Styela clava: one gene and its partners. The protein of the gene in region 1 purifies or fractionates together with the protein of each later gene. This does not show direct contact. Links are inferred from orthologs where the notes say so. Each region holds a gene or a part of one and is shown on either strand. Other genes may lie near its edges.

Evidence for each region.
Region 2: the proteins of DNA-directed RNA polymerase III subunit RPC2-like (region 1) and DNA-directed RNA polymerases I, II, and III subunit RPABC3-like purify together in Homo sapiens (affinity purification with mass spectrometry; 5 studies listed by BioGRID and IntAct, with this or other methods). This does not show direct contact. The link is inferred for Styela clava from reciprocal best matches to the Homo sapiens genes POLR3B and POLR2H.
Region 3: the proteins of DNA-directed RNA polymerase III subunit RPC2-like (region 1) and GPN-loop GTPase 1-like purify together in Homo sapiens (affinity purification with mass spectrometry; 4 studies listed by BioGRID and IntAct, with this or other methods). This does not show direct contact. The link is inferred for Styela clava from reciprocal best matches to the Homo sapiens genes POLR3B and GPN1.

What each region holds. Positions count from the first base shown.
Region 1 is NC_135255.1:15,753,724-15,761,155, reverse strand, and holds the start of DNA-directed RNA polymerase III subunit RPC2-like, read right to left. Parts: upstream 3,016-7,432; 5' UTR 2,961-3,015; coding exon 2,784-2,960; intron 2,084-2,783; coding exon 1,736-2,083; intron 1,462-1,735; coding exon 1,224-1,461; intron 310-1,223; coding exon 83-309; intron 1-82. UniProt on the Homo sapiens protein: Catalytic core component of RNA polymerase III (Pol III), a DNA-dependent RNA polymerase which synthesizes small non-coding RNAs using the four ribonucleoside triphosphates as substrates.
Region 2 is NC_135255.1:11,092,703-11,100,229, forward strand, and holds DNA-directed RNA polymerases I, II, and III subunit RPABC3-like, read left to right. Parts: upstream 1-4,961; 5' UTR 4,962-5,064; coding exon 5,065-5,202; intron 5,203-5,802; coding exon 5,803-5,952; intron 5,953-6,530; coding exon 6,531-6,698; 3' UTR 6,699-6,962; downstream 6,963-7,527. Other genes in the region: nuclear pore complex protein Nup214-like, read left to right, coding at 1-76, 2,381-2,540, 2,825-2,938, 3,322-3,352; mitochondrial inner membrane protein Mpv17-like, read right to left, coding at 7,097-7,214, 7,405-7,457. UniProt on the Homo sapiens protein: DNA-dependent RNA polymerase catalyzes the transcription of DNA into RNA using the four ribonucleoside triphosphates as substrates.
Region 3 is NC_135251.1:19,540,166-19,548,184, forward strand, and holds the start of GPN-loop GTPase 1-like, read right to left. Parts: upstream 3,066-8,019; 5' UTR 1,992-3,065; coding exon 1,884-1,991; intron 1,347-1,883; coding exon 1,146-1,346; intron 951-1,145; coding exon 834-950; intron 732-833; coding exon 591-731; intron 10-590; coding exon 1-9. UniProt on the Homo sapiens protein: Small GTPase required for proper nuclear import of RNA polymerase II (RNAPII). May act at an RNAP assembly step prior to nuclear import.

The DNA of each region.
Region 1 (7,432 bases):
TTAAACTTATCTTTTTTGCAACATCACAAGTAAAAAACAGATACAACTTTACAAAACTAAACCAATATGAAACATGTCTAACCTTGCAATGATAATTCCAATCAATAACAGGCACATGAGCAAGTAAAGTTGTTGCCAGCCAGTCTCTTGCTTCATCGTTTCGTGATCGTCTCGGTGCTCCCCACATGCCACGATTTCTACGGATTTTTTGACCAATATAACGAGTCGCTTGAAGTTGAGTAAAAACTTCGAGTCTGTGACATTCTTCGATGGAGGATGCAAATAGAGACATGATGGACTCATCGGTCCCTGGGATAAAGGTAATGTAAACAACAACTATGGGACCTCTTGAAGTATATGCACCAAGGTGGCACACAACCTGAAATCAGGTTGTGTACCAGGTTAGGGTTCAGGTTATGCAACATCTTGGTGCACATACTTCAGGAGTACCCAACTCTGATTATATTTACTTATATAAGTACAAAAAAGTGATGCTGAAAAACATGGACACAAAGGCAAGAACGAAGTAGTACAGGTCAATACCACAGTCTTCACGACTATTGAGAACCCAAAACCGCAACAAAGTGCACAATTTTTGATGACGTCATCGCACACGAAAAACAAATCCCATAGAGCCCACAGAAATTTTTAAAATAAGAAAAGTAATAACCTTCTACCAAAAAATACAATCTTGAACCACTGAAAAATTCAAAGCAATTATTGAGAAAAGCAATTTTTTCATAATTATATGAAAAAAAATACCAACAGGAACAACAACAACATAATAACGAAACAATATACACATACACTTCGTGTCCAAGAATATATGATTTTAATATTTAACCAGGAGAGAAAAGGGCTCAGATTGAGATGAATTAGTCGCAAGGCGAAGCAAAGACTTTCCTTCGATTACCAGTCCAGGTTGCATATGGGATTATTCAATCAAGTAATTGCGCAATATGCATAGTCCATAGTTTAACATCCATGAATTAATTGAAATCAGCATATTTTTCAAGATTTGTAAAAATATGTAAAAAGCTCAATTAACAAGCATTTCTGCAACTAAAGTCTTAATAAAATTTTTGTGAGAATTGGTGGATAAAGATCTTGGAATGTTTCAGTTCATACTTTTTCGTTACACATTTACAAAGTTTGAAAATATAATGTCGACCATTCCGACTCATTCGTGACTCCACAGTAAAATTTTGGACCTAGTGCCTTACCTATGAGTTGCATTATAGCTTGGTCACTTTCAACACCCATTGCTTTAAAAATAATACAAACAGGAGTGTCTTCTGTCAGTGCATTCTGTTGTAAATAAAATTTTCCCTTCTTTTGCAAAATTGTCGCTCGAGTCTTTTTCTCGTGAGTGGAACTGTGCACGGAACAACTCACCAAACCCTTTCGATCTTTCTCACAAATCATTCGGTTTTTGGACAGTTGTTCTTGAATCAATATGACCTAAAATTCAAAATTTTATTATGAAATTTACCGCTTCCTAATTTTATACATTGCATATATAAATAGGCTATAATGCCAGGTAGCCTATTCATGAAGCCATATTGCAATTTCAATATTTTTTTATGAAGTCAGTTCTCAATATATAACCAGGTTTGTTTTATTTTAATCAGAGTTTTTACTTCACTCGATACACCTTTATCTCGTAAAGTAGCCTAACCTTAGTCTAGTAATTGTGAAGCAATTATATTCAGCCATCATTTCATTTTTAATTTACCTTTTCAACCCCTTTGCAAACAAAATAACCGCCTGGATCATACGGACATTCATTTAGCTTTGCAAACTCAACAGGATTTTTTCCAGCTAAAACACAATTTGAACTTTGTAACATGATTGGCATCCTTCCAATGGGGAGGTGTTTTCGAATAATTCTCTGCTGCCCTCTTGTGTATTCAACATCAACAGTTATCGGAGCAGAGTAGGTAAGATCTCGAAGCCTGCACTCGTGTGGTGAAATAGGACGAGTGACATTGAAACTTTCTTCCACGTCAGGTTTTCCAACGTGAATATCGAGATATTTTAAATACCAATTTGGATCAGCATCACTTAGCACTTTGTCATTTGCCTGTAAAATAAAACATTCACAAATGAGCAATTCTTAAATGAGCCAAAATCAATATTGCAACATTTAGAAAGTCGAATAAACTTAACCTATTTGTTTTTGTTAAATTGTGTTGAATGATAAAAATAATAGATAGATTCAGATATTTTATCCCGTCATGCAAGAATCAATTGAAAGCAAAAGTAAAACATAGTGAACTAAAAATAAATAGAAAACATTGATTCACAGCAATTGACGCAGGGTCGCGAAAGACTCAATGAGTCATCCAGTCAGCGAAATGAAAAAAAAAATAATTTCAACATTTTTACATGAGAACTTTATATATTTAACCCTAAACTGGAGATAAGACCGTAAGTTTCAACAAATATATTCTAAATAAGATTGAACTGAAATGGATAGGATAGGATTTACATATTTATCCAGGGGGAGAGGAAAGCCGATAAGACGGCTTATCCATATGGCGAACCACGGCCTCTCGTCCGGTTACCATTTCAAGTCGGGTATGGGATTAGTTATATATATATATATATATTGTTTGTTTTCGGAGGCATGGACAATCCTCTCGCACATAACCATCACTGCATGGGATTCGAACCTGCGAACCCACGCAGAGTAATTAGAGGTGCGGTAGCGAGCGTATTCCTAACGCTTAGCCCGTTGAGCCACACCGCCGCGTAGAAAATCAATAATAGATTTCACCAACCTGCATTATTTTCTTGATCTCCACGTTAATAAAATAATTAAATGAATCGATGTGTTGCTTCACCAAGCCTTTCACTTTGAGAAATGCCGGTAATATTTTCCATTTGTCTTTCACATCTGAAAGCGGCTTATTTAAATCCGCATATTCGTCGTCTTCATTATCAACCTCTTTCTTCATATTCTGGCCTTTGTTATATATGGAACAGAAAATACAAAAGCTACCGTGTGCTATCGCCACTGTCATATAAGCAAAATGCTAGCAAAATCCCGCAGCAAAATATACGATGTCATAAAAACGTGTTTCCACTTTGCGAAATATTTTTAATTATTAACCACAGAGATGTAGAATTGCAAATTGAACGTTATTATGTAGCATTCAATCACACGAAGCATTTGGGATCAAGGGAGAAGTACAAAAAACTACATTTATCAAAATAAAATAACGTATTATTGAGGAAAAAATGAAAAGTTTGTTAAATTGACACTAAATTTGAACAAGATCTGCCTTTGGGTCTCAAAAAATATTTTGGGTATGGATTTACAACTCAGACATCTTTCCAATCAAAAAAAGAATTTGACAAAAAAATTGATCAGTTTTCTAACAGAATAATTTCAATACAACGCAACAACGTAAATTTCCTGAAAATTCGAAAAATCGTTAAATTGACCCAAAATATGAACAAGATCTGCCTTTAGGACTCTAAAAAAATTTTGGGTATGGATTTATAGCTCAGACATCTTTCCAATCTAATAAAGAAATTCGAAAAAAAAAGATCAGTTCTCTAACAAAATACTTTTAATACAACGCAATAACGTCAATTTCTTTAAAATCCGAAATATCGTTAAATTGACCCAGAATTTGAACAAGATCTGCCTTTGGGGCTCAAAAAATATTATGAGTATGAATATCTGAATTCATCATCTTTCCAATGACATAAAGAAATTGAAAAAAACTCGATCAAAATACCGCAATAACGTAAATTTCTGAGAAATTCGAAAAATCGTTAAATTGACCCAAAATTTGAACAAGATCTGCCTTTGGGGCTTAAAAAATATTTTGAGTATGGATATTTGAATTCATCATCTTTCCAATGAAATAAAGAAATTGAAAAAAACTCGATCAGTTTTCTAACAAAATACTTTTAATATAGCGCAATACCGTAAATTTCTTAGAAATTCGAAAAATCGTTAAATTGACCCAAAATTTGAACAAGATCTGCCTTTGGGGCTCAAAAAATATTTTGAGTAGGGATATTTGAATTCATCATCTTTCCAATAGAATAAAGAAATTGGTAAAAAACTCCATCAGTTTTCTAACAAAATACTTTCAATATAGCGAAATAACGTAAATTTCTTAGAAATTCGAAAAATCGTTAAATTGACCCCAAATTTGAACAAGAAATGCCTTTGGGGCTTAAAAAATATTTTGAGTATGGATATTTGAATTCATCATCTTTCCAATGAAATAAAGAAATTGAAAAAAACTCGATCAGTTTTCTAACAAAATACTTTTAATATAGCGCAATACCGTAAATTTCTTAGAAATTCGAAAAATCGTTAAATTGACCCAAAATTTGAACAAGATCTGCCTTTGGGGCTTAAAAAATATTTTGAGTATGGATATTTGAATTCATCATCTTTCCAATAGAATAAAGAAATTGGTAAAAACTCCATCAGTTTTCTAACAAAATACTTTCAATATAGCGAAATAACGTAAATTTCTTAGAAATTCGAAAAATCGTTAAATTGACCCCAAATTTGAACAAGAAATGCCTTTGGGGCTTAAAAAATATTTTGAGTATGGATATTTGAATTCATCATCTTTCCAATAGAATAAAGAAATTGGAAAAAAACTCTATCAGTTTTCTAACAAAATACTTTTAATATAGCGCAATAACGTAAATTTCTTAGAAATTCGAAAAATCGTTAAATTGACCCAAAATTTGAACAAGATCTGCCTTTGGGGCTTAAAAAATATTTTGAGTATGGATATTTGAATTCATCATCTTTTCAATGAAATAAAGAAATTGGAAAAAAACTCGATCAGTTTTCTAACAAAATACTTTTAATATAGCGCAATACCGTAAATTTCTTAGAAATTCGAAAAATCGTGAAATTGACCCAAAATTTGAACAAGATCTGCCTTTGGGGCTTAAAAAATATTTTGAGTATGCATATTTGAATTCATCATCTTTCCAATGGAATAAAGGATTTGAAAAAAAATTCGATCAGTTTTCTAACAAAATGCTTTTAATATAGCGCAATAACGTAAATTTCTTAGAAATTCGAAAAATCGTTAAATTGACCCAAAATTTGAACGAGATCTGCCTTTGGGGCTTAAAAAATATTTTGAGTATGGATATTTGAATTCATCATCTTTCCAATGGAATAAAGAAATTGGAAAAAAACTCGATCAGTTTTCTAACAAAATACTTTTAATATAGCGCAATAACGTAAATTTCTTAGAAATTCGAAAAATTGTTAAATTGACCCAAAATTTGAACAAGATCTGCCTTTGGGGCTTAAAAAATATTTTGAGTATGCATATTTGAATTCATCATCTTTCCAATGGAATAAAGAAATTGGAAAAAAACTCGATCAGTTTTCTAACAAAATACTTTTAATATAGCGCAATACCGTAAATTTCTTAGAAATTCGAAAAATCGTGAAATTGACCCAAAATTTGAACAAGATCTGCCTTTGGGGCTTAAAAAATATTTTGAGTATGCATATTTGAATTCATCATCTTTCCAATGGAATAAAGGATTTGAAAAAAAATTCGATCAGTTTTCTAACAAAATGCTTTTAATATAGCGCAATAACGTAAATTTCTTAGAAATTCGAAAAATCGTTAAATTGACCCAAAATTTGAACGAGATCTGCCTTTGGGGCTTAAAAAATATTTTGAGTATGGATATTTGAATTCATCATCTTTCCAATGGAATAAAGAAATTGGAAAAAAACTCGATCAGTTTTCTAACAAAATACTTTTAATATAGCGCAATAACGTAAATTTCTTAGAAATTCGAAAAATTGTTAAATTGACCCAAAATTTGAACAAGATCTGCCTTTGGGGCTTAAAAAATATTTTGAGTATGCATATTTGAATTCATCATCTTTCCAATGGAATAAAGAAATTGGAAAAAAACTCGATCAGTTTTCTAACAAAATACTTTTAATATAGCGCAATAACGTAAATTTTTTAGAAATTCGAAAAATCGTTAAATTGACCCAAAATTTGAACAAGATCTGCCTTTGGGGCTTAAAAAATATTTTGAGTATGGATATTTGAATTCATCATCTTTCCAATGGAATAAAGAAATTGGAAAAAAACTCGATCAGTTTTCTAGCAAAATACTTTTAATATAACGCAATAACGTAAATTTCTTAGAAATTCGAAAAATCGTGAAATTGACCCAAAATTTGAACAAGATCTGCCTTTGGGGCTTAAAAAATATTTTGAGTATGCATATTTGAATTCATCATCTTTCCAATGGAATAAAGGATTTGGAAAAAAATTCGATCAGTTTTCTAACAAAATGCTTTTAATATAGCGCAATAACGTAAATTTCTTAGAAATTCGAAAAATCGTTAAATTGACCCAAAATTTGAACAAGATCTGCCTTTGGGGCTTAAAAAATATTTTGAGTATGGATATTTGAATTCATCATCTTTCCAATGGAATAAAGAAATTGGAAAAAAACTCGATCAGTTTTCTAACAAAATACTTTTAATATAGCGCAATAACGTAAATTTCTTAGAAATTCGAAAAATCGTTAAATTGACCCAAGATTTGCCTTTGGGGCTCAAAATCAGAATAGTGTTGTTATTGAGAGACATGCATGCCATGGTATAAATCGACCCATCACCGATACTCACCTACATAGTATATATTAGCTGAAAGTAGTCTATAAGAGAAATTCTACGCAAATCCATGAGCTTTTATGTTTGTCCGGGAGAAACTCTAATCACTGTTCTTTTTATCAGCTTGGTTACTTGCAACCCCACATGTATAGGAACAATCTCTCCATTATGTTTGATTGCGTTGAAATAATATGTTTATATACTGGATAATGTCTTCGCTTTTTCATGGTTAAATTATATTTAAAATTTAAATAGTCACAGATAATTTACAATTCGATTTACTTTCATTTCAGGTGAGACAAAACAAGAATTTTGCAGCATTGCATTATAAGCTGAACTGGTGATTTTATTTTCGCAAAATGGCTGCGCACAAAAATTGTTACGTTGTTCCGGTATACATGCAACATGAACGAAAAAGAAGTACAAATCATTGATTAGTAGAGATGAACAGTATCCGAAGAAATAACCCATGTGCTTTCGTAACAGTGAAATAGTTGCGGCGTTCCACTTCACGGCCATTTACATTCGAATCCGAATTGAAAAAAGAAATGACTCCGACTCTAGACTCGGGTTTGCAAACAATTTTGACCCCGACTACAGCTCCGAACTCTAGAAAAATCCGATTTTGATAACAAAATTTTTAGCGCATGTTAGCCTTCATTAATTAATTGTTAGAAAACGCTTAGGAAGCTTGATGCTTTTTTGACTTCCATTATCACCATTGAATGTCTGAAATTATGACTTTAACGATCGAATTCAAAATCTTACAGTTTAATATTAAGCTTC
Region 2 (7,527 bases), about 4.7 Mb from region 1:
GCATTTGGATTCAGTAGTCCATCTGCTGGGGTTGGAGCACAAGGATTTGGCGGTTTTAATAAACCTCAGCAATCAGGTTTTTATTTTTAGATTGTTTTAGCAGAATCGAAAAAAATCAATGACATTTACAGAGATGTCATGACAATTTATTTTTTTTTTTTTTTCATTCTGCTTATAAGTTGAAACGGTCCAATTGGAAAAACAATAGGACTACATAGACTTGTATATAATATTGCATTGTTGTTTGGAGACTAAGATCTGATTCTTGAAGACTAATTAGATAATGAAGTAATCAGGGGCGCAGCCAGGATTTTTCCCACTGGGGGTTACGGTGAAATTAAAACATTACACCAAAAGTGCTATTCACGAAGACGTACTAATGCGTTTAATAAACTAAAATGCATGGTCGTTCACAGCGATATTCCACAGCTACGTGTAGCCCGCCTCTCTTTGCCTGACGGCGTTTGGTGAATATTTTGCAAGTCCTATTTCAAACATCGACCATTAATCCGTAGTCACCGGGTACCAGCATTTAGAAATAAAACAATAAAAATCGCGAAAATTAATTTTAGAGAGAACTATAACTTGCTGATGTCAGTAGCGTGATGATGGTTTATACGTACAAAAAACACGCTCGCATGTAGCGCCGAGCAAATGCATGAAATGTGAAACTATTACTTGGAATTTATTGTTAATCGAGTTGATTTTTTATTATCATTCAATGATTATTAACATGCGCCGTGATTAGTGGCGGGTAAAATCGTATTTTTTAATAGAGTTATTCGAATATTTTCAACGAACACCGAATAATAGGTATTGTTATTTTAAACATTAATTTGGATGTCGACTGCCGAAACAACCTCTGTGACAATAAATAAATTTTTTTTTCGGATTTTACTAGAAGACTGAAAACTCCGTAACAATGCAGGGCTTTTTATTTCATAGTTTTGTAATAATCGAAAGCTGCGAAGAATCAAATTTTTTGTCTCCACTATTGTTTCGGCGGCTGACATTCCAATTAATGTTGTTAAGTTATATTAAAGCACTTTTTTATTCAAGTATTAATTCTCATGCAACGGCGGATATCGTAGTTTGGTTTTTATATTTCGGACAGAATTGCGAGTTCACATCGGCGGAGATGTTAGAGACAAATATTAGGGAGTGCATTCACAACACAAATCAATTTTATTCTCATTTTTATCTTCTGTGTAGGAGTTGTATCACGGTCCCAATTTTAAACGAACAATATTATCATTACTGACCCCGGGAGGCGATATTTGTGAAGCGGATAGTTGACATTTTTATGCTTTTAATTTTAGATTGCGTTCGTGTTACTTTCGTATTGAATAATAACTAATAGCTCTGCAAATTGGTAATCTCTTGAATACTCAGTGTTGAGTATTTACGTAACTCAGCTTTGGGTTAAATCACTGATACTAAACACATGAATAAATCGGCAATAATGGAATTTCTACATGGTCAAAATGATATATATTTCTTCCCAATATCTCGAGAAATTTTCATAAAATACATTATTTACCTGTCCTACTTATCTGGTTCGACATTTCTAAATTCACAAAAACGGTGTTCACACGCTTTATGCAAAATTAGGAATTGAAAAATATGACGCAAAGAGGCAAGGAAAATTTTTTTTCACATTTATCGTTTCTACCAGTTAGCGATAGCCATCGGTAAATTCTTACCCGTAACTCGTTGTAAATTATTGTTAATAAATTCTATTTTGCTTTTTAATGCGCTGTGCTTTGTATTAAAATAAAAGTGATTTAGTTGGGAAGAGAAAGTCCTTAAATTAGCTTATGACCCTTCTCTTCTTTTAAGCGCCCATAACGGCGGTTAAATTGTTTCATGTCTGTTTCATGGAGAGAAGGGAAAATATGCCTTCCGGATTTGCAATCAACAATTACAAATTCCTAATTATTCTTATCAGCGCTAACTAAAAAAGATAACATGTCTTGTAGACGGAATAAGTCTGTAGATGTTAATTGCATTATGGTGATAACGCGCAGAATAATATCGCTTGGACCGCGAAACCATGACGAGCGATCGTAAAACTAAGCCTTTGCTTTTTTGTAGATGAAATTCACATCAAATTTTTTCTCAAACAGAGAGGGTTACACCCATGTAAAACCGCTGGCTGCGCCCCTGGAAATAATAATTATATACACATTTAGAAATCGATCAACTTTAAGGAATAAGTAGATCTATACAATATAGTTGACATGAAATTTTCTGAGATTAACACTGAATAGTTGAGGTAGCCAATGATGAGAAATTCTGACAGCTTGTCCTATTACTTTTATTCCATTGCTGCTGCTTGTTATATCCTGGATGCACTTAACATTATTGCTAATACTTTTAGGTTTTGGAGCTGCTCCTGCTTTTGGATCTTCTGCTACATTTGGTTCTCCTCCAGCTTTTGGTTCTACCTCTGGTGGAAGCACATTTGGAGGTGGATTCGGTTCACAGCCTGCTTCAACTGGTGGAGCTTTTGGACAAACTGCCAGTGGTGGTTTTTCATCGTAAGTAAAGGGCATTGAAGATGATTCTCTAGTCTCTACTACCAGTCAAATTTGTGAAGCACAGTTCTTATATGTGGCAGTGCTCAATACATATTATATTACAGATGATAAATGACACTTAATTCCCTTTTGGCCATACAGATCCATGAATGGCAAAAACTAAATAAACTATTATGACCAATTTTTCACCAGTCCATGAAGATAACTTCTACAATGGTTAATAACTTGTAAGCTAGTTTTGTCATATTGTGTTTTTTTTACAAATACTCAAACTCTTTTTTTAGCTTTGCCAGTAGTGAAACACCTGGTTTTGGTAATCTTGCGAATCAATCTGGAGGATTTGGAAGTCCACAGCAACAGCAGCCAAGTAGCTTTGGTGGGTTTGGATCGAACACACAGTAAGATGGATTTATAATTATGCAGTCTGTAAGGAATAAAATAATAAATAGAAACTCTATCAGTGCATTGCACACACATAAAAGTTTGCCATAAGTCTTGTTCCCCCAGTGTTTTTTTTTTTTGTAATCTATCGTGGACAAAAATTGCACAACTACAGTATGGAAAATGTTTAATGACCACTTGCAAAGGATACTTACGTTTCTAAAGAAATTTTTTTATTAAAATCAGTATTTGCTACCTAATAGTGATGTGTTTTTTCACAGCTTCACCTATAAATTTTTTTGTTTGAAATGGTTGATAACGACCATGCCATGACTGTAAAGAAGTCTTAAAGACAGTATTTGTGGGGCTGTGTATAAACAATCATGTTTCTTCATTTCAGAAAAAGCCCTTCTTTTAGTGGCTGGAGATAAATGATCTATGGAAAGGTGTACATTTTTGTCCTTGATGCTGAATCATGCCTTGTTAATAATGTCACTGGATCTAAAGTCGTTTTTCACAACGCATGCTACTATTGCTCCTGAACCTGATTGCTACTTTATGGATATGATGATAAAATAATGAAAAACAGTTAATTTATTAGTATAATGTTCATTTGTAAATGTGATAATTTGTTTCATTAAGAACAATAACTTAATATTGTTGGCTGAATTAAGATCCAAATAAATATCATCGGAAAATGACTGGAACGATGTGCAACTTAAAGTTAGTCATCCAGGAATAGTAACTCAACAAAACAAATTATGTACAAAAATTCACAATATAAATATAGTCTAACACTTAGACATATGAATAATTTTAGGAAAATGAGTATATTATAACTCTAGTCGTAATCTCAAGCAATACACGATTTGAATGTTGAAGTATGGTCAGCACTGGTCACATTTAGTTGGGTTGGCATATCGTCCTAATTGTTAGAATTATGCTACAGCACCCCAGATTACACTCCTTGGGTTCGAATCCTGTGGGGGATAATTATGTGCGAGAGGATTGCTGAACTCCTTACCGCCGAAGGGTGGTTCACGTAACCACTGATAGGCTATGGCTCCATTCACCATCAAGCCACTACATCTGAAACAAGTAACTGGCTAAATGATTCTATACCGACATGGACGAGAGGCTGTATCACACCATATGTTTAAGTCGTGTTATCTTCTCTACTCGGCGTGAATGTGTAAATCTTATATTTGGTGCTGTGTGGCATAACTTAAGAATTTTCATGAAATGTTTTTTGATTTGACGGGCAGTAAGGTCTCAACCCCCAGTGGAATGACTGGTATCGGAGTTTAAATACAAATTACCACCAGATGTATTATATTGTGTGGACACTATTTGTCTGATGAGACACAAGAATTGATAGACATTTTATTAGGTCTTCAATGCTTATAATTGTTACATCGCGAGACACTTGTATGTATTTGAAATGAGCATTGATGAGATTACAAATCCGGCTTGATGATTGGCTTATTAACTTGGGTGTTATGAACACTATTGCGCCCGCTTGTGTAATAGTCTCGTCCCCAATGAGGAAATAAGTATTTGGGGCAGCTCAATTATATGGAGATTGGATAATCACTGCCTCTCTGTTGCTATTTAACTTGTTCTTGCTACTTCGAGGAGTCCTCTTATCTTCTTGAACAAATTATGAATAAAGGTTGTGAAACCCCTCTAAAACAGCTTATGACTGAAATCGTCATGGCGGTAGGACCCGCTTTTCATTAATTCTATCAACTATACTTTGTTGCACGATAGTATATTTTATTTATCTGTGCTTTCATGTATTTACAATAATTAGTTTTTACTTATTACCTAATACTACTACACTGGGCTATACACGCTATAAGAGTCCCTGACCTGAACTGGTAACCGGACGAGAGGCCGTGGTTCGCCATATGATTAAGCCGTCTTATCGGCTTTCCTCTCCCCCGGAATAAACATGTAAATCCTATCCTCTTCCGGAATATATGCGATTCTAATTTTAACAGATGGGAACCGATATATCCGTGTAGGAAAATTTTTCAATAAATTGTTTGGTACTCGCGTGCGTTTATGTCGGGCCTGGCTGTTCTGCATTTCTGGGTTTCTGTGTATCGTCTTGCGTTTTAGTTCGTGTGGTCGTTTCGAAATGGCTGGAGTGCTATTCGAAGATATTTTTGATGTGAAAGATGTTGACCCCGAGGGAAAAAAATTTGATCGTGTTTCTCGACTTCACTGTGACAGTGAATCTTTCAAAATGGACTTGATTTTGGATGTAAACACACAGGTGGGTCTTGATTTACAGTAAGGAATGCCTGGATGCAGGACTGTGGCTGAAATAACTAAAATCGGCTTGTGTCTGTAGCAGTCTAGTCATAGCAGCTCTTTTAAACAGCATTCGTAGCTAATTTGCTTTTTCGCTATGAAATTATTAAATACATTAATATGGTCTGGTACGGTACCGTATAGTTTAGTACCACATGCACTTCTAGTTGGCCTGGCTTAACAATTTTTGCATATGTCGATCCTAACCCTCACCTGACTACGTCACAGTGGCGTAATAAGGCCCACCAAAGTATGCGGATGGTCGCCCAAAACGCGCAGACAATCACCCGAAATCGAGCAAGCTATTTCTCTCGTTTTCTTGTCACAACGATCACGATAGGAGAGAGATCGTACTTTAGCGAGTTCGTTATCGGATTTTTCAACTTATGATACTTCAAGGCGAGAGGCCAAAAACATTTGGGCGAGTTCGAGTCGTTAATTTTCAGAGTGCTCGAGTAAATTATTGACTCATTTATTTCCAACACTCGACTTAAAAAAATTTCGAACTACACAAAAATGCATGTCTGTAATCTCAGAATCTTCACAAGATTTAAATGTTCAGGTTTATCCAATGGAACTTGGAGATAAGTTTCGACTTGTTCTTGCAACAACTTTACATGAAGATGGGGCACCAGATGATGGAGAATTCAACCCATTGTGGGATCAGCAACCCACCCGTGCAGATCAGTTTGAATATGTCATGTATGGAAAGGTAAACTTTCTTAATTATTTTTCAGGTTCCCATGCGGGTAAATGATACTTATATTGTTGTGTAGTACTGTTAACAATGATGATTAGTGGATCATTTGTTTTTGTTGTGACATATGTAGAACATCATTCTATTGGAAAAATATGAATCACCATGCAAGCACTGCTGGTGGTTGGATATTCAATTAGCGTTTGTACACGTACACATATAATAGTATTTTAGCTATAGACGCCGTAAACTCAACCATCACTTTGTGTTTCACAAAATTACCTACCAATCCTTTGTGTTTGTAGAATGCAAGGGTGCTGTAGCAAAATTAAAAGATGACTATTCTATTTGATTCAAGAGTTTTGCTGCACACTACACATAGGATTAGTGTTAGTGTGCAGCAAGACTCTTCGAATCAGACAGCTGTGTTTAGTTGGGAATTTATGCTGCTTACTGATTAAATTGATTCAGTAAATTCAACGATATTTCATCCTTAAAAATAATGTTATGAAGATTAGTTTCTAATCAAACATGGTATTATTCATATGTGTTTTTAATTCTTTAATATATATTAAATCCCAATAAATTTTTAGGCATACAGGATAGAGGGGGATGACACTGGCAGCGAAGTTGCATCCAGACTTTCGGCTTATGTGTCATTCGGTGGCCTTCTTATGAGACTGCAAGGAGATGCAAACAATTTACACGGCATGACTGTTGATCAGAATGTTTATTTATTAATAAAGAAATTGGCATTCTGATCAAGACTGTAGCGAGCGATTCGTTGGTAATTCAAGGACAAAGAACTATCATCTTGACTGGCGATACATAGTTACAACAGTCAGGACTGATGAAGCTGCTTTGTTTTCTCAAGATGTAACATCAAGAACAAATCGATCAGTTTTGTGTAAAGGTTACTAAACAGCAGCTCCCCTATTTCCAAGTGGAGAAAAAAACTTGCGACGGTTTAACTATCTCAATTTTATTCTGAAGCAAAGTAGGAAATAATAATATTTAACTTCTGGCTTTGGGTATTGCGTTTGCACAGCAGCACATACATAATACTATAGGCAGTACTCGCAGCTTGGTCTCATCATCCTGATACTTTCTTGGCCTCCTAATGTTTCTAGCCAATGAGCAATTCGTCAACAGTAAAAAATCAGCATGCTTTCTTCTCTCTGCCATCAGCCACATAGACATCTTTATGAATTGTGCGATTAGCTCTGTTGCTCAAATAGGAATTCCAGAACAATGCGACTATTTGGCAGAAGAGCATTCTGAACAAATAATTAATATATCATTATTCATTATGCTCAATTCCCTTATTTTGCTACAAATTTTATATGCTTAATTTACTGGAGCGGCTATGAACTGTCGCACAGCCGCTCCAGTAAATTAACTCTGCCAGAAATCTTAAACGCTGCAGCTTTCAAAAAATATTCATTACTGAGTACTGACTAAACCCACCTGTATTGAAAAGGCACGATTCCAAAATTGATCGTTTGTGATGGAATCCAAACCTAAATTTAAGTAAAAAAAGTTGCAGAATAAAGAATTATTTGTTGAGTTTTTGGATCTCTGAAGGCTAAA
Region 3 (8,019 bases), on another chromosome or scaffold:
TATGTCTGTCTGCAATATATAGATGAGCTGTTTTAGTTTGGTTCACAAATCCATTCATAGCCCCACTCAGGGTAAATAAAATTTAACAGAGCTCAAGTGGGCGCCCAGAAGTGTGTGTACCCATATGAAGGTTCACTAATTTTGTTTGCCTATTTTACATCAAGTTGTGAAAAAGAACTGAAACCTGTGGGTATAGTATATTTACTTGGCTAACCCGGACAGTCCCCAAACTCGTAATAGAACTAAAATAAGGAGAACCAGAATAAAATTATGGCCTAACCCTAAGCCTACACACACTACGAGAGTAGATAAAATTGGATAAACCATGTTGAATTATGCCTAAGTCTTCAAAAAAGTGATAAGTTGATGTCACAGTTTTAGAATTTAGAAATATATATCTATGCAATTCGCTAGTACACTCACTTTCTCTAAGCCTATTTCAAGAGGATCAGAAGATGAATCAGATTCAAAAATACCATTTATGGAATATCCATAGTACAGAGTGCTATGTTGACAAGATCGAGCCTAGAGGCTACAATAACAAGTCGAAGTAAAGAAATAATTTTATGCTCTGATAAAAAGAAGCTCACCTTGTTCATCACAACAATGAATGGCAGTTTTGTTTTATATAATATACTACAGGCATATAACATATTAGACATAAAAGTAACTGGATTTGTACTTCGTGCAGTGTCCATCACATAAACAACAACTGTAGGAAAAGTTGAAGCCTAAAAAATGAATATATTGCAGAGACACTAAATTAGTGTTTGTTGTCGAAAAAAGGATAATGATTTTGAAATGAAAAATAGAATAGAAATATACTAACATACCAATGTTTCAGTTATGATTGCACCAGATGCTGACCATGTGAAGACTTCAATCTGACCAGGTGTATCAAATATAACATATTCACATTCAGAGGCTCGTTTTTCAATGAATGTCATGACCTGAAAGTTTATGGATGTCAAAATGAGGAAAGCTCACATCAATTGAGTATATGTCTCTAAAGTCGTTGAACTTTATATCCTATTCACCTATCCATTTTTTATGCAAGAATCTACTAAGATGTAGGAGTTCCACGGAAAAACGAGAAATTTCCAGTTTGCTACTTTCACATTGAATGTAAGATAAATTGCAATCACCTGATCGAATTTAGTTGTGAATAGATTCAAAGCAGTCATTATACCACCATTTGGTCCAAGCCCATATTGTTTCATCACTTCTTTATATTTAACAGTATCTCGTATATCAATGTTTGTTGGAAAAGGAACTGAGTGAACAGCAGGATCAAGATTCACAACATATGGTGGACTTTTTATTGCATGTAAATGAGCAGTCAATCTCTGAAACAAAATAAATAAATTTAAACACGATATGGCATGATTTTGATATACTTTCATGAAAAATGGCTCCCTCATAAGGAAGTGCTCCATAACACCTGAATTGCATCAAATGTTCAAAAAAGAATAACTCACAACTTATAGAAAGTGATGCGAATTGCCCTAAATCAGTAAATGTGGAAACCCCATGGTTGACGTTTATAAGTTATTATAGTTACTTAGCGCAGTGGCAGTGCGGCGCATCATGCTAAGCCAGTAAGCGTTGGTAATATGCTTGTCACCGCACCTCTGATCACCCTGTGTGAGGGAGTGAAGGCAGCTTAATCATATGGCTGTATCTGTGTATAGTGAACCACCGTCTATGGTCAGATCGTCCAGTAGTCCATGTTAGATATGGCATCAGTTGGCGGAAAATTTGTTTTGAGATGCGTGGACTTGCAACTTGATGGTGGAGAAAGCCGTCCCGGTAACTGACCAGCCGTATCACCAACGAGTTACGGTACTACTGTACGCTACCGGTAAAGTACCGTAACTACTAACCTGAACAAAAGTTGTTTTTCCAGAACCCGCCATTCCCAATACAATTACTGTCGTAGCTTTTGCGGCATTCTTTTCACTTGAAGACGTAGAACTCCCACCCGAAGCCATTTCTAAACCTTTAGGATAGGATTTAGCCTACATATTTATCCAGGGGGAGAGGAAAGTCAATAAGACAGCTTAACCATATGGCGAACCACGGCCTCTCGTCCGGTAACAGCTAGGTACCGGTACAAGGTACCGTACCGGTACAGTACCGTAGGTACATTTTTATTTCCTGTTTAGGATCTACTGGTACAGATTTAAATAACATCATACATAGTCTAACTAATCTATCATACGCTGCTTATTCTACATCCAATCAGCAATATGTCGAACTCCAAAGCTGACATGGCTACCTTCAATTACACCACAAAGCCAACGCCATAACCACGCATGATTAGAAGCCTACAGGTACCGGTACTGTACCAGATTCGTCGTTGTTTACACAAACTTAAAACATACCGGTACTTCCTCTATTATTTTTCCAGGGCAGAATTCTAGTGTTGAAATGCAAAAAATATCCAAATTTAAAATAATTCCTATCTGGGGAACGTATAATAAATTAAACAAAATCTAAGTTGGGCTGTAATTCGGCAAACAATAGACTACCGGTACCGGTACCGTACTGTTAAATACATGCTTTCCTGTCCTGTTTTCGGAAGTAGGGTTCTGAAATAAATAATTTACACACTTTACAGATCGAGAGACAATCTCTCGTTTTAGAGAAACCTATTTTAACGGTGATCGAATATCCCTCCTTCGATGGACGTCTGGCGGATTTTGTCTCCCGATATCGATAAATTGAAGCTGCGCAGTAAACTAACAAAAAGCGCAATCTAAAACCATCACCATTGAATTCCTCGTGAAAAAATAATCAGATCTACCGATGTAAAAAAAATTTTACCGGTGCGTTCGAGAGAAATGAGCAAAAAACGATTGACGGCGTGTGACGTCACTGAATTTCAATCGACGCACGCAGGCACGCATCGGCCGTTCCTCGACGTAAACCTTGGCGTGCCGTGTTTCTCTCATTTTCAATGTAGATAGGATGGCGTGTTAACGATAATAAATGGATCAGCGATAATAAAAATTACATTTTGATAACACACAATCGATAAACAGTAAAATTAATGCCTCGATATAGCATTAGATGAATTAGTTCATAAAGCAATAATTTAATCTAATGCCGCAACGAGACATTCACATGCCGCAAAATGTGCAACTTGCGTAATCGGCGAAAAACGAGAATCAAATTAGCAAAATAACTTAATATAATGCCACATCGATGTATTCATATGCCGCAAATGTTCAGTTTGCATAATTTATACTAATATAGGTGGGTAAAAAACAAGATTCAAAATAATATAATGTCCCATCGATACATTCATATGTCGCGAATGTTTAACTTCGAAAGTTACAGTATACGAGAATAATTTAATTCAATGCCACATCGAGGCATTCATATGCCACAAATGTTAATCTATACGAAAATAATTTAATTCATATGCCGCAAATGATCAACTTGCGTAATTTATACTAGTATAGATCGGTAAAAAATAAGATTCAAAATAATATAATGTACCATCGATACATTCATATGCCGCAAATGTTTAACTTCGAAAGTTACGGTACCGGTATACGAGAATAATTTAATTCAATGCCACATCGAGGCATTCATATGCCACAAATGTTAATCTATACGAAAATAATTTAATTCATATGCCGCAAATGATCAACTTGCGTAATTTACACAATAATAGATCGGCAAGAAACAAGAATCAAATTAGCAAAATAATGTAATATCATGCCGCATCGATGTATTCATATGCCGCAAATGTTCAATTTGCGTAATTTATACTAGTATAGATTGATGAAAAACAAGATTCAAACTAATATAATGCGGCATCGATACATTCATATGTCGCGAATGTTTAACTTCGAAGTATACGGAATACGAGAATATTTTAATTCAATGCCACGTCGAGGCAATCATATACCGCAAATGTTAATTTGCGTGATTTATGCAAGAATAGATAGGTGAAAAACAAGAATCAAATTAATATAATGCCGCATTGATGCATTCGTATGCCGCAAATGATCAACTTGCGTAGTCTGTGAAAAACAAGAATCAAATTGGCAAAATAGTTTAATCCAATTAATCATCGAGGCTTTTATTTTACTATAGATTGTTGACGCTCAAATTTAAATAAAAATCTCGAATATAATTATTAAATGATATCGTAATTCGTAATCGTTGTGCGTTCTGGAAGTTTCAGTTCTAAATAAACGAAGATGCTATGTTAAATTGTTGTGATTACAGGTATTAACGGGCATACAAAGTTTCACTATCGATATTAATTTAACTATTGAAAAAAAAAAACTTCGATATCGTGCATCGTTTTGACTTCGTTATACGACAATTCAAACGATGTCATGTAGTCACAAACACTTATAATAAAATTAGTTGGACTCGTAGACGTATTAATCGAAACGCATTATTTTATTCACAGACGTTTGCATTTACGCGACATTATTTTAATTAGGCACTACCAACAGTAGACTGAATATAATGATTCAGAAATACATCGTATATCTAACCATATAGGTCAGTATACATCGGTAAAAAACGAAAATCAAATTAGCAAAATTCGAGAGCCGTGCCGAACTGCCGATCTGTGCGTGACTTTCTTTGACGTCATATCCAGACATCTGACGTTCTCACGCATCGAGCTCGCAGACGACTCGACGCCCCCGGTTTCACAGACGCCTATTCATATTTTGGCTCTTCCGGAATGTAGACGCAAATCCGGATTCGGGATAGTGTGCCGTACTGTATAAAGAATTAAATTCCGATCAGGAACATTCGTTTGTATAATAAACAAGAGAGCAACGCTCTCGAATTTATGAACACGAGCAAATAGGCTATATAAACACGATAACCAGAGCGAAGCAACCTCACCTTTGACGCTACCCTCAAAAAAGTTCCTAGTTTCGCGTAGCAAAAATTTACAGAATAAAACCGGACAGCCAGTGTTTCCATGGATGAAATAATACAGCGGAATTTTGGACGAAATATCAGATTTCATACAAAATTTATAACGTTGTAATAGCCTCATGGCAAAAAAATCAATCTATAAAACTGAAAATTTCGAAGCAATTGATTTCGTAATCGAAGAGAAAAGCATTTTCTTAATGAAAATCATGACGAATATCAAGAACAACAGCATAATATTGAAACGATCGTTATGTCCACTGACGTGTCCAATACAGGATTGCCAGACCCCAGCGATCAAAAAAGCCAAATCAAGACATAAAAAAGACAACAATTTTACTAAGTACAAAAGCCCCATGGTTTGTCAGATTTTAAGCCCTTGGCAACGTACTGATGATGATGTAGAGCCACCAGTTTATTCAGTGAGGCACACAAATAGAAAGTAAAGATCCTATAGAACTGTAGAAGGTAAAATAAATATCAAGCGGGCAGCATTATTTTACCATTCAATATATACAATACAGGGTGCAGCTTCAAGCTTCAGTCTGTCAGTATGTAATATACCTACAATATGTTTCTACTTAAACTTGTGCCACATCTCGAAAAATTCTCCCTATATCGTACTTTACTATTGAAAAATTTTTCACTTTTAAAATTTATAAACCATCAATTTTATTAAAAAATTATCTAACCCCCTGCCGCTCACAGGTGGACCACTGATATCTAATTCAGTAATTTTAGCGTAGTTAATCACATCGTTACTGCAATTGCAATATTAAACTAAATCTGAAAGCTCACATAAACCATATCAGGCATAATGAAAATTGAGTTATACAACTATATTTTGGTAACAGAACGTAAACTGACAAATAACACGCAAAACTATAAAAACGAGGCAATGTTTACAACCCTGCTTGAACATCTGTCTGAGCAGCTGCAGAAACTGCACTTATTTCTTATTGGGTATGGTTAAGAGTTAATGTAACAAACAAGGAAATCGATGCTCCAGGAAATCCTAATGTTAAGTAGCTAAGTACAGGTAATAGGCTATTGTTCAGTTGTTACACACTAAATATTGTATTTCATATGGCAACCCTGGTCCAATAAACCAATTAATATCTGGGCGATATCTGGTCCAATAAACCAATTAATATCTGGGCGATCTCATTATTGAGGGTCAACATAAAGATGCCACTCTGTGTGACGTCATAGGTTCCACATGAGTAACGAGGTATGGACTTCTCAGCTTTCCCTTTGCGACCAAATATTTAAGCCGAACGTTTGTTTGTTGCGACAAACTACGCGTATTTTCAAGTTATTTGTGGTTAGCTTAGCACTCTAAAATCAAGCTACCTTCGTTTAAATGCGGTATTTATGTCACAGACTGTGAACTGACACAGTACCGTAAGTTACTGACAGAGTAATAATCATATTCAGGGGTTCCATTACATTTTAACCCACGACAATTGCACTTATGGAATTTTTTTTTTACGGATATTTGAACCCATACTAACCCTAACCCATAGATTTTAGCACCGTCATATAGATTGAACCCACGGATATACGGGTGCAAATGTGTGGGTTCAAATGTACGTTCACCATATCCAGGTATTGTTATCTCATTTTCCGTACGGTATCTGGCTATTTTGTTTTCAGGCCCATACCCAGATACCACAGTATTCTTGGCAAATTGGCTCTAATTTATTTGCCAGTACCGAAATAATTCTAATCGTACTAGAATAGGAATACGGTATTTCAACTTTTGTGAAGAAGGGACGACAGTTTCGAGAAGCAAATCAAGCATTTGTGGTATCAGAGATAGAAAGTTATTATTCGTCAACCAGAAAAAAAGCATTATCATTCTCTGTGATCTCATGACATCCGCGCTTTATATGACATCGTGTTACATTAGTGACAGTCTTGTTTTCAAGATTTATCTTTTTGCAGAATCGGGTGCTGGGAGTCGGCGGCCAGGGTAGCCCATGTTGTATGTGCAAGACTGTTCTCGGAGTTCGCGCACAAATTCAGAAATATCAATGGAAACGTTGTGACTGAAAAAGCTTGCCTAATTTGTTATTGTTGTTGGGATTAGAAGTCAACCTAAACCCGAGATGGGCACTTTTTTTTATTTTATTTTTGCAAGAGCTGCATTGATCACATCATATAGTTACCTTCATTCAATACGCAAAATATCACTATTTGATAACTTTTGAAGAAATTCATTAGATGACAAAGCAGAAACATTAACTACACAAATCTATTTGACCATAAATAAGATTTGACAAAGCAAATTACGGTAAATCTTTTTTAATGTTCATGGAAATAATTCTCATAAAATATCATAAACCATAATAAATTATCTAACGTAAGACAAGAAAGCATATAGTATTCTAAGATGCACTTCATTCATGTATTCTGAAAAATAATGATAAAATTATGTTATTTTTTATTGAATCATTCGAATTTATATCATGATAATATTTAAAAAATGCAATAAGGTTGGTATACTATATTTCAATACTGTTGTTTTGTCGGATCATAAAAAGACAATAGAGCTATGCTCAAATATATGGGCAGGTAGCGCCACCCAGTGGGAATAATTTTGATGACGTCATAGCGAAAAAAAAGTAATAGCCTTCTGGAGAAAAATTTTATCTTCAACCACTGAAAATTTCAAAACAATTGGTCCAGTATTCGAAGAGAAAAGCGATTTCTTCAAAACGTGTCAAAGAACAAGGACACTAGAACAACAACAACATAATATTGAAACGATCGCTATGTTCACTACGTGTCCAAAAAAACCAGTAGACTACTGCAAAAGATTAGATTAACCGCACTCATTTCATTTATTTAAGTATTCCTTTCTTATTTGAATGTGAATGCGAGTCTTGCCGTCGGTATGCTACGCTATTGTTATTGGCAAATTTAGTGAAGTTTTATATGAGGATGAATATGCTCTGCTTTGTTACTTATCAATTTTAATCGGTAAGTATGTTGGTAGGTATTTGTCTGTGTGTTTGTCTGTCTGTCTGTTAGACGCACGCGATATCCCACGAAAGCGAGATTGAATCTGCTCCAGATTTTGCATGTGCATCATCATATGTC